4 linked regions of the Saccharomyces cerevisiae S288C genome follow. The gene in region 2 interacts genetically with the main gene of each other region. Each region holds a gene or a part of one and is shown on either strand. Other genes may lie near its edges.

The links.
Region 1: of ISC1 (region 2) and ELO3, changing one suppresses a phenotype caused by changing the other (phenotypic suppression), as found in Saccharomyces cerevisiae (2 studies listed by BioGRID, with this or other methods).
Region 3: mutations in ISC1 (region 2) and GPI16 together harm fitness less than expected from each alone (positive genetic interaction), as found in Saccharomyces cerevisiae (one large-scale study listed by BioGRID).
Region 4: mutations in ISC1 (region 2) and IPT1 together harm fitness more than expected from each alone (negative genetic interaction), as found in Saccharomyces cerevisiae (2 studies listed by BioGRID).

The regions. Positions count from the first base shown.
Region 1 is NC_001144.5:865,236-869,244, forward strand, and holds ELO3 (fatty acid elongase ELO3), read left to right. Parts: upstream 1-2,118; coding exon 2,119-3,156; downstream 3,157-4,009. Other genes in the region: Rho family guanine nucleotide exchange factor ROM2, read left to right, coding at 1-1,549; VID22 (Vid22p), read right to left, coding at 3,427-4,009.
Region 2 is NC_001137.3:190,954-195,142, forward strand, and holds ISC1 (inositol phosphosphingolipid phospholipase), read left to right. Parts: upstream 1-1,843; coding exon 1,844-3,277; downstream 3,278-4,189. Other genes in the region: AAA family ATPase AFG3, read right to left, coding at 1-835; kinetochore-associated Ndc80 complex subunit SPC25, read right to left, coding at 1,006-1,671; Arf family guanine nucleotide exchange factor SBH2, read right to left, coding at 3,320-3,586. UniProt on the Saccharomyces cerevisiae protein: Responsible for the hydrolysis of the phosphosphingolipids (IPS), inositol phosphorylceramide (IPC), mannosylinositol phosphorylceramide (MIPC), and mannosyldiinositol phosphorylceramide (M(IP)2C).
Region 3 is NC_001140.6:481,356-485,779, reverse strand, and holds GPI16 (GPI-anchor transamidase subunit GPI16), read left to right. Parts: upstream 1-1,942; coding exon 1,943-3,775; downstream 3,776-4,424. Other genes in the region: ERG9 (bifunctional farnesyl-diphosphate farnesyltransferase/squalene synthase), read right to left, coding at 1-935; PTH1 (aminoacyl-tRNA hydrolase), read right to left, coding at 1,180-1,752; Elongator subunit IKI1, read right to left, coding at 3,861-4,424. UniProt on the Saccharomyces cerevisiae protein: Component of the GPI transamidase complex. Involved in transfer of GPI to proteins.
Region 4 is NC_001136.10:588,963-593,553, reverse strand, and holds IPT1 (inositolphosphotransferase), read left to right. Parts: upstream 1-2,209; coding exon 2,210-3,793; downstream 3,794-4,591. Other genes in the region: SNF11 (Snf11p), read right to left, coding at 606-1,115; PAA1 (polyamine acetyltransferase), read left to right, coding at 4,152-4,591. UniProt on the Saccharomyces cerevisiae protein: Catalyzes the addition of a phosphorylinositol group onto mannosyl phosphorylinositol ceramide (MIPC) to form mannosyl diphosphorylinositol ceramide (M(IP)2C), the major sphingolipid in membranes of S.cerevisiae.

The sequences.
Region 1 (4,009 bases), on a different chromosome or scaffold from region 2:
AAGGATTGATCAAGCAAGTGGTGCTGCACAAGATAGACATGATGTAAAATTGTTGAAACAAAAGATTCTTTTCAAAAACGAATACGTTAATTTAGGATTAAATGACGAAAGGAGAAAAATTAAACATGAAGGTATACTATCACGGAAGGAGTTGTCAAAATCGGACGGAACAGTTGTTGGTGACATACAATTTTATCTTCTAGATAATATGCTCTTATTTTTAAAGGCCAAAGCAGTTAATAAATGGCACCAGCATAAGGTATTCCAAAGGCCCATTCCATTGCCATTGTTATTTGCATGTCCAGGTGAAGATATGCCTGCGTTGAGGAAATATATTGGAGACCACCCAGATTGTTCAGGAACTGTAATTCAACCAGAATACAACACGAGTAATCCTAAAAACGCAATAACTTTCTTATACTACGGTGCCAAGCAGAGATATCAAGTTACATTATATGCTGCGCAATACGCTGGATTGCAAACGCTTTTGGAAAAAATAAAGCAAGGACAAGCAGCTATTATAAGCAAAACGGAGATGTTCAATGTAACGAAAATGAGCGATAGGTTCTTCGATTACACCAACAAAATTAACAGTGTTACTTCCTGTGATGGGGGTAGAAAACTTCTGATTGCAACGAACTCTGGATTGTATATGAGCAACATTAAAAGACAGCAGAATAAAGATCATAGACATAAAAGCTCTGCTTTTTTTTCAACTCCAATCCAACTAGTACAAAGAAATAATATCACTCAAATTGCTGTATTAGAAGAATTCAAATCAATCATACTTTTAATTGATAAAAAATTATACAGTTGTCCGCTGTCATTAATCGAAGCAGAAGGTAATGGGACATCTTTCTTCAAAAAGCATCACAAGGAACTGATCAATCATGTGAGTTTCTTCGCAGAAGGAGATTGCAATGGTAAGAGATTAATCGTGACTGCACACAGTTCATCGCATTCAATTAAGTACTTCGAGCATGAACATCCATTATTGGCCGAAAAAAATGGTAGTGGTAGCGGTAACAAAAAAAGTCTCAAGAAAAAAATCACCGAGGTTATTTTTGATTCTGAACCTGTCTCTATTTCATTTCTCAAGGCCAACCTATGCATTGGCTGTAAAAAGGGTTTTCAGATCGTTAGCATTTCACAGAATGCTCATGAATCCTTGTTAGATCCGGCCGATACATCATTAGAGTTTGCACTAAGGGATACTTTGAAACCAATGGCAATCTATCGTGTGGGAAATATGTTTTTGCTGTGTTACACAGAATTTGCCTTCTTTGTCAATAATCAGGGTTGGAGAAAGAAAGAATCGCATATTATTCATTGGGAGGGAGAGCCCCAAAAATTTGCAATTTGGTACCCGTACATCTTGGCATTCGACAGCAACTTCATTGAGATCAGAAAGATTGAAACTGGCGAATTAATTCGTTGCGTCCTTGCTGATAAGATTCGACTTCTACAAACAAGTACTCAAGAAATCCTGTACTGCTACGAGGATTATCGCGGGTATGATACAGTTGCGTCGTTAGATTTCTGGGGTTAAGATAGCAACGTATATAGACTTTCCTTATTTTCTTTAGAATAAAAAGCATAACTAAAGTTGTAAAAGGAGCAGAATTATGAATAATAAACATTGATGACAATAGTGGAAAACGACATAAATAATAATTTTATAATATAATAATGATAATTCACCGTCAGAGGGATTTGTATGCAAATGATTGATGACGCGAGAAAAAAAAACGCGAAATTTTTCTTCCCAAAGCTTCGAAGTTTTTATTCCGTCCACAAAGTGAAAAATTTTCAGAAAATTTTCCAGACTGTGAATAAACAAAAGGTTGGCTTACGCATTTGGCTTGTCTTTTTTTTTTTTCACAGGTTCTTAGTAAATAATTGTATAAAATATTTATCTGGAGTCTTCTGTTTGTTGTTTAGCCTTGTTTGAAGTTTTATTTAACTTATTACCCCAGTTAGGTACTGTGTATTTTCCGCATATCTGGTGTCTTTTTATTTGGTCATTGATTGGTTTTTGACAGCTCTTCACTCGCTTCAAGCTTACTTCTAGTTTATTTATTCGGCTTTTTTCCGTTTGTTTACGAAACATAAACAGTCATGAACACTACCACATCTACTGTTATAGCAGCAGTTGCCGACCAGTTCCAGTCTTTGAACTCTTCTTCTTCATGTTTCTTGAAGGTTCATGTTCCTTCCATTGAGAACCCATTCGGTATTGAATTATGGCCAATTTTCTCCAAAGTGTTTGAATACTTTAGTGGCTATCCAGCTGAGCAATTCGAGTTTATTCACAATAAGACTTTCTTGGCTAACGGGTATCATGCTGTTAGTATTATTATCGTTTATTACATTATTATCTTTGGTGGCCAAGCTATCTTACGCGCCTTGAACGCCTCTCCATTAAAGTTTAAATTGCTTTTCGAGATACACAACTTGTTTTTGACTTCTATTTCTCTAGTTTTATGGTTGCTGATGTTAGAACAGTTGGTTCCTATGGTTTATCACAACGGTCTATTCTGGTCTATCTGCTCTAAGGAAGCCTTCGCACCAAAATTAGTTACTCTTTACTATTTGAACTATTTGACCAAATTCGTAGAATTGATTGACACTGTGTTTTTAGTTTTGAGAAGAAAGAAGTTATTGTTTTTGCACACTTACCATCACGGTGCCACCGCTTTGTTGTGCTACACTCAATTAATTGGTCGTACTTCTGTTGAATGGGTAGTTATCCTACTAAACTTGGGTGTTCACGTTATCATGTACTGGTACTACTTCTTGAGTTCATGTGGTATTAGAGTTTGGTGGAAGCAATGGGTCACTAGATTCCAAATTATTCAATTTTTGATTGACTTGGTATTTGTTTACTTTGCTACCTATACATTCTATGCTCACAAATACTTGGACGGTATTTTACCAAACAAGGGTACTTGTTATGGTACTCAGGCTGCTGCTGCTTATGGGTATTTGATTCTAACATCTTATTTGCTTTTGTTTATTTCCTTCTACATCCAATCTTACAAGAAAGGTGGTAAAAAGACAGTCAAGAAGGAATCTGAAGTTTCCGGCTCCGTTGCATCCGGTTCTTCTACTGGTGTCAAGACCTCTAACACCAAGGTCTCTTCCAGGAAAGCTTAAATAGGAAGCGAGAATTTTTGACAGCGAATGAAAAAGAAAAAAATTAAATGTTAACATTTTCTTTATATTAAATATGTACGATAAATGAAATCATTATTATAGAAATGATAGATTATTGGCTTGGTGTTTTTCCCATTTTGATTAATCATTTCCTTAGCTGCCCAAAGAATTGCACGCTTACAGTGAGGAGTAGTGATACATTACAATTATAAAATAAAATTATATAGCAGCTAAAATTTAAAACAAACAGACTTTGTTCCTTTGTATGTCCTATGGAAGATACTGACTTGCAGTTTGTAAAGTGTCCAAGTCGTAATCCACTTTACTTGCCACGAATTGATCATTGAATAATTTAATTTTAATAATCTCTTGAGTTAAATCGGGATGTACTCTGGGAATGAAGTCATTTAAAAATGAGTACTCTCCCCTAATGGAGGAAGATGACTGACATTGCATTATCTTGAACAAAATTCTAATTATCGGCCCAGCATCATTATCTAAGTATTGGGACCAGAACGCGTTACACACAGGAACATGGATATCAAGTAACTCTTCAATGAAGTTCATTGGTTGTTCTAGCTCTCCAATAATAGAGTCCTCTGTTATTATTCTCTTCTTGAAACGGCCACTATCTCTAATGAAATTGCTTTGTTCACAATACGACCTGTAAGATATGGGTACGATGGAGTTTACTGTACTCAAGTAATCATATAAGTCCTCTTGAATGATTTGTAAAAAGATACTATCTATTTCCTTTGATATGGTAGAGTCCGATAAATGATGGGTATCGCTAAGAGAACCAAATGATAGGTTATTATTGCTATTCTGTGGTTGTTGTTCCGGTAATACAGAA
Region 2 (4,189 bases):
TATTGAAGAGCTTTGCTCTGGATTTTCCAACATTAAACATGCCGCCGAGGCCTCCTCCACCACCACCATTGGCATTTGGTGGTGAACTATTTATTTTTCTGGTTATGAAGTAAAGGCCACCAAGCAGAATGATGGTGGGCAGGAAGGGGAACAAAAATGTGAAGGGAGAAGATCTCTCAATGTATTTGATGGGGATACGATCCCGAGGAGGAATGTTCAAGAGGTCCTGGATCTGGTCCATCTGTTCCTCAAAAATATCTACTGAACCAATGGTGAACGATACAACTTGCTTTGTATTGACTAATTCGGCCTCTACGAGAAACTTATTAACGACGTAAATCTTGGACACAAGACCCTTCTCCAGGTATTTTGTTTTGAAATCCTGGAAAGTCAAGACGCGGTTAGAGTCGTCTCCTGAGTTGTTACTGGAAGGTGTGAGCAAAGTAAATATAATTGTGAATCCGATGGTCAAAAACATCGTATTAGCAAATTCCTTAGATCTGAAGTATTCTGATAATGAACCAAACTCATTTCTTTTGTCTTTGCCATCTTCTTTATTGCTATTATTATCTTTATTACCATTGTTCTTGCCCTCACCCTCTTTGTTTGGCCTATTTTCATTTAACCTTGTCCATGAGATATGGAAGGAACGTATTTGGGTAGAACGGTGTATTGTGTTTCTGGTTGCCAGACCAGATAACGTCTGCAAACGCTGGTGAACTGGCATGCGCGAGCGAAGCACTGGCTTCACTGTTGATATGCGGCTAGCTTTACCAAATGAGAGTGATGTCAATGAGCGTGGCGCACCCCTTGCATATCGTTGCCACATCATCATCACTTAGTATATTATAAAATAAGTGGATGATGCCTTTATTTGAAGACTGCGTTAATCTCCTTTAATATAGAATGGGTCCTTGTAAAAGTTATGTATAGACAGTAAGAACCAATTTATTCCTCATCTAAATCATAGGCCCAGAATAAACTGAACAGATGCGTATAAAGGCGTTATAAAGATGCCAGAAGCATATCGCGGGCCACGACTAAAAATGCCGCGAGGTCGCCCTGGACGGTAAGCACGTGCTCAAGTGTTGCCCGACTCTTGGGGTCCAGCGCCGGGTGAGAGTTTCCGATCACGTGGTCTCCGTGCATCGCGACTTCGATCCAGCAGCGTGAATCATCGCCGAATACGAAACGTACGTCATGCACATCGCTGGCTCCGGGTAGTACACGAAGCTGCAACAGCCGTTCGTACAGTGCGACCTCTGCGGCATCGTTACCCGACTGCGCAGCCCAACGTGCGCGTAATTGGACACACTCTTTACCACGCTGTTGCAGCAGCGAGTCCAGCTCGCGCGATTGGGCTGCTAAGGTCGACTGCCGTCTAGATAACTCAGATTCACGCTCGTGATAGCTTCTCCACTGCTCTCTGGTGGTATTTGTAGCTTGTTGGGCCGCATGTATTTGTTGCTGCAGAGCGGTGCGCTGGGTGGCAAGCCGTTGCAGTTCATCTATGAGATGTTGGTGTTGGTTATGTAATTGACGCATTTCCGCTTGGAACTGTTGCAGCTGTTGGCGCGCGTGGTTTTGCTGACGTGCCAGTACCTGGGCCACGTCCTTTTGGAACCCGTCCATCCGGCGCTCAAGGTCCGAAAATGCGTCTATGCTGGCCATTCTTGTATGTGTGTATGTGTTGTATACGTATGAGCGGTTTTAATTGAATCGGCTTAGCCTGTTTTTGTTTTTGTTTTTGTTTTGTTTTGGTTTGGTTTGATTTATTTTGGTTTGGCTTAAATCTTCGAGGAAATTTGCGCTTTCCGCGTAAAAAGGGAAAAAAAGCAGATATATGTACAACAGAAAAGACAGAGATGTTCACGAGAGGAAGGAAGATGGTCAATCTGAGTTTGAAGCACTGAACGGGACCAACGCAATTATGTCCGATAATAGTAAAGCGTATTCCATAAAGTTTCTGACCTTCAATACATGGGGGTTAAAATACGTCTCCAAACACCGTAAAGAAAGACTCAGAGCAATTGCTGATAAATTGGCGGGCCACTCAATGCTTACGCCAATATCTGACGAGTTGTTGCCCAATGGTGGAGATAGTAATGAAAACGAAGATTACGACGTGATTGCCTTACAAGAAATCTGGTGTGTGGAAGACTGGAAGTATCTAGCTTCTGCGTGTGCCTCCAAGTATCCGTATCAGCGTTTGTTCCATTCTGGTATTCTGACGGGGCCTGGGTTGGCCATACTGTCCAAGGTCCCGATAGAGTCGACCTTTCTTTACCGGTTCCCGATAAACGGTAGACCGAGTGCGGTGTTCCGTGGCGACTGGTACGTAGGGAAATCTATAGCAATCACCGTATTGAACACAGGAACCCGCCCCATTGCAATAATGAACAGTCACATGCACGCCCCATACGCCAAGCAGGGTGATGCCGCCTACTTGTGCCACAGATCTTGTCAGGCCTGGGATTTCAGCAGGCTCATTAAGCTTTACAGGCAGGCCGGTTATGCGGTGATTGTGGTGGGTGACTTAAACTCCAGACCGGGCTCACTGCCCCACAAATTTCTCACGCAGGAGGCCGGCCTGGTCGACTCCTGGGAGCAATTGCATGGGAAGCAAGACTTGGCGGTGATCGCTCGTCTGTCTCCATTGCAACAATTGCTTAAGGGCTGTACCACGTGCGATTCGCTGCTCAACACATGGAGGGCCCAAAGACAACCCGATGAGGCATGCAGGTTGGATTATGCTCTTATCGACCCTGATTTCTTGCAAACAGTAGACGCAGGTGTCAGGTTCACTGAACGGATCCCTCACCTGGACTGCAGTGTCTCTGACCATTTTGCATACTCATGCACCCTTAACATCGTCCCACAGGGCACAGAGTCCCGTCCATCCACCTCCGTTAAGCGTGCGAAGACTCATGATAGAGAGCTGATCTTGCAGAGATACTCCAACTACGAAACCATGATAGAATGCATCCACACGTACTTGAAGACAGCCCAAAGACAGAAATTTTTCCGTGGCCTACATTTCTGGGCCTCAATACTTCTCCTAATAGCGTCGTTGGTCGTGACAACGTTTACTGCAAACAAGGCAGGCTGGTCCTCCATCTTCTGGGTCCTTTTCGCTATTGCTGTCTCCATCTCGGGCACCATCGACGGTGCCATCTCCTTCTTGTTTGGCAGGTCTGAAATCAGAGCCCTCATCGAAGTCGAACAAGAGGTTCTGGACGCGGAGCACCACCTGCAAACTTTCTTGAGCGAGAAATGATATTATCGATTTTCTTTAGCATATGTAAAAAAATTACTGATATTATATAATGTGTGTAAATTTCGTCAATAGATGCAAAGCAATCACGGAGAAGATGAAACCGACAGATAGGAACAATACGACAAGGGAGTCGACTCTGAATCCATTGGCTTCGTCCGTATATAACTTCAAAATTGAGCTTGAAGACCCACCGTAACCAGCCTGTCTGGTGGAAGTGGGCGTTTGTTTTGCTTGCTTTTCCTTAATGGATTGTGCCTGTCTTCTCTTCTGCAAGATACGCTGACCTCCTGGTGGAACTGAAGCTGCCATTCTTATGATACTGTTGATCGATAATACCACCTGTTTTATGCTTTGCGCCCCTTACCTTTTCTCACACGCACATATATCTACTCTCTCATACCTCTTATATCTAAAATGTCTCTTTTGGCCAGTTAGTAACTGAATGAAAAAGTGAAAATGGAGGAAAAAAAAAAAGACGAAATCCAAAAGGCTAAGGAAACGGGTAACCCGTGGTACCCGGGGCAGAATCAAACTTATAATTACTAAAGATATACCATATATTACGATCCCTGCGCCCGGCGTGCTCCACATTAAGTAAATGTCTGGAGTAAAATGAAGTCCGCCAATTCAGTCACAAAACATGACTACTGCCTCGTTCGCGATTTCTTCTTCCCTTACTTCATCATGTTCAAGCCCCCTCAGCTGCGCCCAAATGATTCTTCTTATCCTCTTGCATACTGCACCGAAAAAAAAAGTTAATAAGCAGCAGGATTTATAGGCGCGTGCGTGCAGCCTTAGACTGAAGGGGTGGAAAAACTTTAGGTAGGTTTGGTTCTCACTACCCAAAGAGCAATCGATAGGTATAAAAGTGAGCAATTGCTATCACAGCGAGCCTTATTGTTACAGCACAAA
Region 3 (4,424 bases), on a different chromosome or scaffold from region 2:
TTGAATACCAAAGCCAAGGTTGCAATGGCCATAACTTGGGGAATGGCACAAAATTGGAAAGTGGATTGCTCGTGGATACCGGCCAAATAAGTCAACACATCGATAACATGACTCAATGCGTTTAAGACGAGGTGGTTTATACAGTCCAACCCCAGTTGTTCGTTTTCAGGTTTCATGAAGTCCTTCAACTGAGGAGCGTATTGTGACCAGATTTCCTTGGGCCAGAAGGATCTACCATCGACCAAATCTTCATTGTAATCTCTGATGATGTTGGTTTTTTGTAGGAAAAGACCCATGCTTTCATACAATTGCTCATTAGAATACAAAGATTCGTTGGCAAACTTGGCAATGACAATCAAACGGGTCAAACCATCACCGACCAAACCAGCTACGTAGTGACAGTACACGTCGTAGTCGTGGACGGTTTGCAACCCATTCAAGTTGTAATTTTCATCTAAGATGTAGTCGGCCATACCATTACCCATTTTCTCGGTGATCTCCTTGATGACTTCTTGATATTCTGGTTTCAATTTGTGGAATTCAATAAGAATCGATTCGAAATCTGTCAAAACGGCTCTGTCCTTCACATCGGGGGCATTTCCGTCGAAACTCCATTTAGTTAACAACAATTTCTCGTGGAAGTGACGCAACAAGTCAATTTTCAAATCGTGTTCGATGGACATATCGTCTTCGATGGTATCCAAAGCCCTTAAAATCAAATAAAAGAGAGTAACACAGTTTCTCAATTCTGGATGCAGCTCTCTGATCACAGCAGCAAACGATCTGGAGGTCAAGTTCAACAGTTCGAAACAGTGCAAGAGATATGGAGACGTGGACTGATCATAGATGGAGAATAGCGGTGTTCTGCAAAACTTCAGCTTCAAAGCTGCCTTCATCTCGACCGGATGCAATGCCAATTGTAATAGCTTTCCCATTGTGTGTGTGTGATATGTGACGTGTATACGTTTTCCGCTTCTGCTCTTCGTCTTTTCTCTTCTTCTGTGCTCTTATTCTTTGCCCCTGTCCTAACTTTCCATTTATATAGCCCGTGGTCGTGTTCTCGCTGCTCGTTTAGGCACTAAACCCAAAACCGATAACGCCTTCCGATGCAAAGTGCAGTGGAAAAGAAAAAGGGCAAAGCAAATAGGATGGTAAGTCGGTATTGTTGTTGAAGATGGGCTATGAAATGTACTGAGTCAGAGCACGCCAGGCAGCAGGTTCACTCTGTGTAAGCAAGGTTTGTAGTTCCTGCGGAGTTAGAGCTCCCAGAACCCACCGGGACACGCTCGCAGGGTCTCTAGAACGGGACCCAGGTTCTCTGCCGATTCCAATAGCCAATTTGGCAAAGGGTACACGGCCTCCACTGCATTTTAGCAGGCTTCGCAGCCCATTATGACCTCTAATACTGGTGCTGGGGGCTCTGAGCTGCACTTTTCCACACGCCACACTTAACTCGTCATGAATAACTACGTGTCGGGCTTGGTACTTGGCGTACCGGGCCCAGACCTTGCACACCTGTTCTCCACTTAGATTCATGTACTGGCCATCCGATCTTAGTATCGTACAATGTTCGTCTTCTATATAATGCACTTTGCCGCCCGTATTAGGCACAGGGGAATAAGTTCTCCCCTGCAGACCAAGCCGCTTTCGTAGCAGCTCCAGCATATATAGCCCTACATTGTGACGGGTACCAGCGTACTGAGGCTCTGGATTGCCTATCCCGGTCAGCACTAGTCTCCATTTACCGGACATCTTCCTTATCTGCCTAGAGTCGACTTGTTCCTACCTACTATTTTGCATATTATAGGAATAGTTCGAGATTATTTGAAACCGCCGGACCTTTTTGCGCTGGGCGATCTTTTACACGTAGTTTTAGTAGCCAATAAGTAAAAGGAGAGCGGAAACAAGTGTTCAAAGCAAACAAAGCATAGGCAAGACGACGATGATCCTCACACTGGCCTATTTCATGCTGGGCACTCTACTACTGGGTGTGTTCGCAGAAGACACGGTGTCGCAGATTGGTATAAATGACAGTTTATGGTATCCGTACGACGAAGCACTGGTGTTGAAGCCGCTGCCCAACAATGATCTGCTACTCTCATTTGCATTCCAACTGCAATCGGAACCGTTTGACCCGGCCGTATCATCCATGTCATATGATGCGTATGAGCACTACACGACTTTCCCACGGGCCATCCCACCATTGTTGGAATCTACTGCCACGCGTCAGTTTCATTTAAGATTTACCAGAGGATTCTGGGATGCCCTGTCGTGGGGACAGTTGCCACATGCTGGAAAAGAGGCAGGTGCCTCAGGTGTGGAATTGTGGTCGCAAGTGCAGGCCATGGATCAGGAACAGGCGTTCCATAATTGGAAAAAACTGTCCAATTCATTGAGCGGATTGTTTTGTTCTTCTTTAAATTTTATCGACGAGTCAAGGACGACCTTTCCCCGGCGGTCATATGCTTCTGATATAGGAGCTCCTCTTTTCAATAGCACCGAGAAACTGTACCTGATGCGAGCATCGTTGCCCAATGAACCCATCTGTACCGAGAACTTGACGCCGTTCATAAAACTATTGCCTACTAGGGGCAAATCCGGTTTGACATCTCTCTTGGATGGTCATAAATTGTTCGACTCTCTATGGAATAGTATTTCCTTGGATATTGCCACTATTTGTTCTGAAGATGAAGATGCTCTTTGTCACTACGAGATGGACGCACGCATAGAAATGGTAACACACGTTCCCTCCGCCTTGGCAAGAGGTGAGAGACCTATCCCCAAACCTTTGGATGGGAACACATTGCGTTGTGACACGGATAAACCCTTTGATTCTTACCAATGCTTCCCTCTACCGGAACCTTCGCAGACTCACTTCAAGCTGTCTCAGCTGTTTGCCAGACCAATAAACAATGGCAACCTGTTTGCTAATAGGCCCACAAGAATTTGTGCAGAAGTTGACCGTTCTACCTGGACTGCGTTTTTGTCAGTTGACGATACTATTTTCAGCACACATGATAATTGCTTTGACTTATCAAACGATCAAAATGAGGGTGGTTCGGGCTACGACTTTATTTTAGAATCGACGGACACTACTAAAGTTACTCCCATAGTTCCTGTCCCAATTCACGTAAGCAGATCTCTGACTGGTAATGGACAAGATCGTGGTGGAATGCGTATTGTTTTCCATAACGACAATGATACCCCTGTGAAGTTGATTTATTTCGAATCATTGCCATGGTTCATGAGAGTTTACCTATCCTCTCTTCAAATTACTTCTACTACCTCTCCGCAATTGCAAGAAAACGATATCATCTTAGATAAATACTATTTACAAGCGGCCGATAGAAAAAGACCTGGCCACTTGGAGTTCACGATGTTAATTCCAGCTAATACGGACATTGTAATGACTTATCAATTCGATAAAGCTCTTCTGCAATTTGCCGAGTATCCACCAGATGCAAACCATGGTTTTGAAATCGATGCAGCTGTAATCACCGTGCTATCTTTGGAGTCCTCATCGTCTCTTTATGAAATGAGAACCTCTACCCTATTGTTATCCCTGTCTACACCGGATTTTAGTATGCCGTATAACGTCATCATTCTAACATCTACAATCATGGGACTCATATTCGGTATGCTATACAATTTGATGGTGAAGAGAATGGTCACCGTCGAAGAGGCCGATAAGATTACGTTGCAATCTGGCTTAAAATACAAATTGCTAAAGCTAAAGGAAAAGTTCCTAGGGAAAAAAAAGACTAAAACAGACTAACAATCTAGCATCTAGATATGTGTATGAAGTATACGTAGTTTACATAATCTGGAAGCACTCACTATTTACCATCAGTTTCTACTTTTTAAAAGGGATCCTCATATGGATCCTCTTCATCATAATCGTCATCCTTTTCGTACTCATAAACAATAGCACCCCCTTGTCCAAAGCTTTGTGCCTCCAGAAAAGGCAATGCGACTTGATCTTTGGCCAGCTTCTGTTTGTTGGATGTTCCTAGGTTGAATGTTGTTAATCCTTGCAACATTTCGGGTGTCTCCAGTCCGTTACTACTGCTCTCCTCTTCTTGCTTAGTGGTTGATAATAATTCATATTCGTGGGTGTTTGAATTTACTATGAAGTCGTATTCCAATGACCTGCCGGACTTTCTTTTATTAACAAGTCGTAATTGAAATATATCGTTATTTAACCCGCGAGGAATTCTAAATTCGTTTAACAATTCACTCACCTCCTCAGTATCGAGAGTGCCTGTTAATACCACATCAATATCTACTATTGTAGTGGCCATAAACTGCAGTAAAGTCAACTTATCAGGATAATTGTTATTCCAATCAGGTATTACCGTACGGTTCTCATCTTTGATGTCTTTATGATAAGTCGCAACCATCGTGCAGTGAGGAGAGGCGATCTC
Region 4 (4,591 bases), on a different chromosome or scaffold from region 2:
GCCGATTTCCCTGTATGGCACCAAATTTTTTCTTTTACAAGTTCCTTACGTAGAGAACGAGAAGAGAATAGAAAGGAAGGGGTTGACCGTTGGAAGGAGGGGGTCCAGCGAGGCTAGACTAGGTTAGGCTAGGCCAGAAGAGAAGGAGGGGAGGGAAAAGTCAGAGAGTCAAAAGGAGAAGGGGCTACGCTCCAAATGGCGTAGAGTAAACTAGTAGATATTGAGATTAGGCTTCCGTTACCGACGTGCATGATGAAGATGACAATGCTTACTGCGACGATGACGAAGGTGGCTCTCGAAGAAGATAATAAGAAAGTAGTATTAATAGGGCTGGCAGTAAGATAACTACATCTGATGTCATAGATTTTAAAATACTAATATTATTATTTACGTTGGGTACATTACATACGATAAATTCATGCAGTTGTAGTACTTGAGTGATTGTTATTTGCCTTTCTTTTTCTGCTTTTCGTATTCTATTTTTCTTATGCTTCCTGTACTTGCTCTGCGGGTATGCAATCACACCTGTAGCTGAATGCAAAATTAAAATTGCAAAAGTAAAAAAAAAAAAACAAAATAAAAAAGGGAAGAGAAACAAAGTTATTCTACCATATCTCGAACACTCTTGCCAAGAGAAGATAGAGTTTAGAAAGAATATCCTGTGGAGGTTGCTGCTGGTTGGCTAGCTGAGGAGGCGTGAGGATCAGTGGTTTCGCTGAGGGCACTCCTTGGTTTATCTGAGATATGCATTGAAGATTGGCATGAACCCTTTTAAGGAACTGAGATATAAGTTGCTGTATCCTGATGATGTTATTGTTATTGCTATTATTTATATTGTTCTGTAGATTGTTTTGTAAACTATTATTCATCTGAATAACTCTAGCAAGTAATATGCTGTTGATATGCAATAGCAGTTGTACCTTATACTGTCTTTGCTCATCGACCGTGGGGAGGTTCAGCTCTGCAGTTGCATTTGCAGTTGCATTTGCAGTTGCATTTGCAGTTGCATTTGCATTTGCATTTGCATTTGTATTTACATCTACGCCAGCGCCAGTATTGCGGTTCTCGTTTTCAGTGTTGGTGTTCGTATTCGAGTAGGCAATTTCACTGCTCATTTTTCTGGGAAAAAAGGAAATCTGTGTGTTTTGCTTATATGCACATTGAATTTACACTCCCGATCGTGATGCGCTCTGAGCCCTGAATAGAGGGTATCATAAACGGCAATCTTACTACGACCCCACGTAATATGCTTTTATGGGAAGTCTGTTCTCCACTCCGTATATACTGTTAGGAGAAAAAAGGAAAAAAAATTTGCCCGAAAGTCGATTGTTACCCGGCAAAACAATCATCAAAAAAAAACAGGTAGAAGAAGGCTTGCTATAATTTGAACACTCTCTACCCTCCTGGCTGCTTTATCTACTTCTGTTGGCTTGAGAAACGTCATATCTATATATAGCGTAGATATGTTTATTCGCGTTTGCACTGGCCTTGAAGAAACGTGAAAAGAGGGTGGTTTCACCGCACAGCGGGGTTATCCTTGGTTACTCGTAAATGCCAATAATCCATCTTGAATAATTCCTATTCGAGACGCATGGGGAAATGCAAGGCAAGCTAACACGTAGTAGAATACCCTGCTGCACAGCGCCGTTGGGGTCTCAAGTGCAATTGCCGTTTTGCGCGGCGATAAACGGCTAAAGATTACTTCAGTTGGCCACGGCAGCTGCGCCCTTCCCGAGTGGATTACGCTCACGTGCTTTCCGCGGAACAAAAATGTGAACGCCACGGGAAAAAAGCATTATCCCCGCGCCGCTTCTTGACGCCTCTGATTGTGCTGATTGATTCCGCTTTTTTTTTTTACCGGCTTTTTTCTCCGCCTTCTTCGCCTCAATCGAGAGTTCTGGTGTAAATTCTCTTACGAAGTGCAAAGTTAGTAGGAAAGTAAAAAAAATAAGAAAAAGGAAAAATGCCTAGAAATGCAGACCTCCGGCCACAACATTTTTATATAATACATTCGAGCATCAAAAACCAGGAACAATAGAAGAGTAATCGCTACTTGTCAAATAAAAATAAAAAAAGGAAACCTAAGGCATAGTGTTTTCATAAGCATCGCTACTTTTTCATTGCCACCCTAACTGTTCCTTTATTTCACCGGTTGGACGTTATCATTTCTGCTAAGAATCACCTAAAGTCTTTCAACGTCTAAGAAAGCATGAATGTCATATTTTCTTTGGCGAGTTTCGTCAAAAACATGTATAATGCAAGTTTGAACCAACGTAATCTAATAAGCCTGCCGTTCAACTTCATGCTTAATTTTGCGCCAGTGTTTATTTGGCTGTCTATATTCAAGCGCGCTGGTCTGATACCCATAAGGCTCAGACCTGACATTCATAGCAAGTTTGCTTTTTTTGCTGATCAATTCCTCTTTGGGGACTATTGGCATGAACTTACTGTACAATTGCCCGATAATACTTCGAAGCTATTTTTCTGGTCATTCATATCATCTTCTGCATTTCTCTTAGTATTTCTGATATGTATTCCCTTTGCCATTTGGTACTACATCTATTACATTAAGCACGTTAACTATAATCTGTTAGAGTGGTTCGCAAATATTTTTCATTACCCCTGCAAGCGCAAGCAGCGGCCGATCCAAAAGAGATTTCGGACAATTTTCATACCGTTTGCCTTGCCCCTGTTTACATTTGTTATACTCAACATTGATCATTTCTTTGCTTACCAGTCGGATGCAAACTTTACTAAGACCAAGGATTTACTGGCTTGGTTCTCCTATGTCATCCTGCACTTGACAGCTCCAATTTTAACAGCTGTATACTTATACGTCTTCCAACCACCGGGGACTTTAAAATGCTTTAGTTTTGCCCTAGGATTACAAAATATAGCGGGGGTCCTTACCCATCTGCTTGTTCCAATGGCCTCCCCATGGTTTACTCATCTGTACGGTATTGATGACACCGAACATGTTAATTACACCCAGGAAGGGTTTGCTGCCGGTTTGATAAGAGTAGATAGCCATTTGGGTACTCATTTGAACACTAAAGGATTTCACATGTCTCCTATTGTGTTTGGTGCTGTTCCTTCACTACACTCCGCCATTGCATTTCAATGTTTCTTGTTTTTGGTTTCAAGGTCCACCAGCTTAAAACACAGATTTTCCAATGCTGGAGGTTTCACAATGCACAATAATGATTCTTCCACTTTCAAGTTGAGTGAGGAAGACAGCGAAGATGAAGGTGACAATAGCATACCGCCCACGATTGGCCCTAACGACTTAGAGATGGAACCATTGGGTACCGTTGAGCCTGTAGATATTTCAAATGAGCGGTCCTCCTCCCCTTCATCTTCATTCACCGTATCCAGTAATGAAAGAAGCACCGGCGGCGGCGACGGCAGCATTATTAACAGCAATGGCAATAAGAAACCTCTCCAGTTTGTCCATTTATATGATGAAGACACGAACTTCACAAACAAATGGATTTTTAAAATAGTCAACGATGGGTTTATACCAAAATTCTGGGCTATCCTATATATAATACTACAATGGTGGGCTACCATGTATCTGGACCACCATTATAGATTTGACCTTTTCGTTGGTGTTTTATATGCAATGACAAGTTTCATCATCATAAACTGGTTTGTTTTACAACCAAAAGTTTTAAAAAAGTGGATTCATATAAGGTTAGGCGACAAAGTGGATACAAGAAACGAAGCTCGCACTTTTGGCATGAGAGTATTTTGTGGCACCAAGATGGAATGGTTTTTTGATCCGCTTGCATAGACTATAGAATGTCATAATGTAATAAAAGTAATTTCGGATAATTTAAATAATATAGATTGGCTTTTTTTTTAATAATATATTATTAGTGTTATGCATGCTTTTTTTTTTTATTTTAATAAAGGGTTAACCTGAAATCGGCTTGCTTTTGGTTTTCTGTCAATTCATAAAAAGAATAGTTTTGAACGGGCAAAAATGGAAAAGCAATGGAAGAACGACGAACATCCCACTGGACAAGAAGCGGGAGCAAGTGTTTGTAAGAAAAATTTACAACAAACTAGATTAAGAAGAATTGGACATCAGAATACTTTTCTCGGAGAAAAAATAACACCAATACATTACGATTAAATAAAAAGTTAAAATGGCCTCCTCAAGTAGCACGCTACCGCTTCATATGTATATTAGACCCTTAATCATTGAAGATTTAAAGCAGATTTTGAACTTGGAAAGCCAAGGTTTCCCACCAAACGAAAGAGCTTCAGAAGAAATTATCAGCTTTCGTTTGATCAATTGTCCAGAGCTATGTTCAGGTCTTTTCATCAGAGAGATCGAGGGCAAAGAAGTTAAAAAGGAGACACTAATTGGTCATATTATGGGTACTAAGATACCTCATGAATACATTACTATCGAAAGCATGGGCAAATTACAAGTGGAATCGAGTAATCATATTGGTATTCACTCTGTAGTAATCAAGCCAGAATACCAGAAAAAAAACCTGGCTACTTTACTTTTAACTGACTACATTCAGAAATTGAGTAATCAGGAAATTGGTAACAAAATTGTCCTTATTGCTCACGAGCC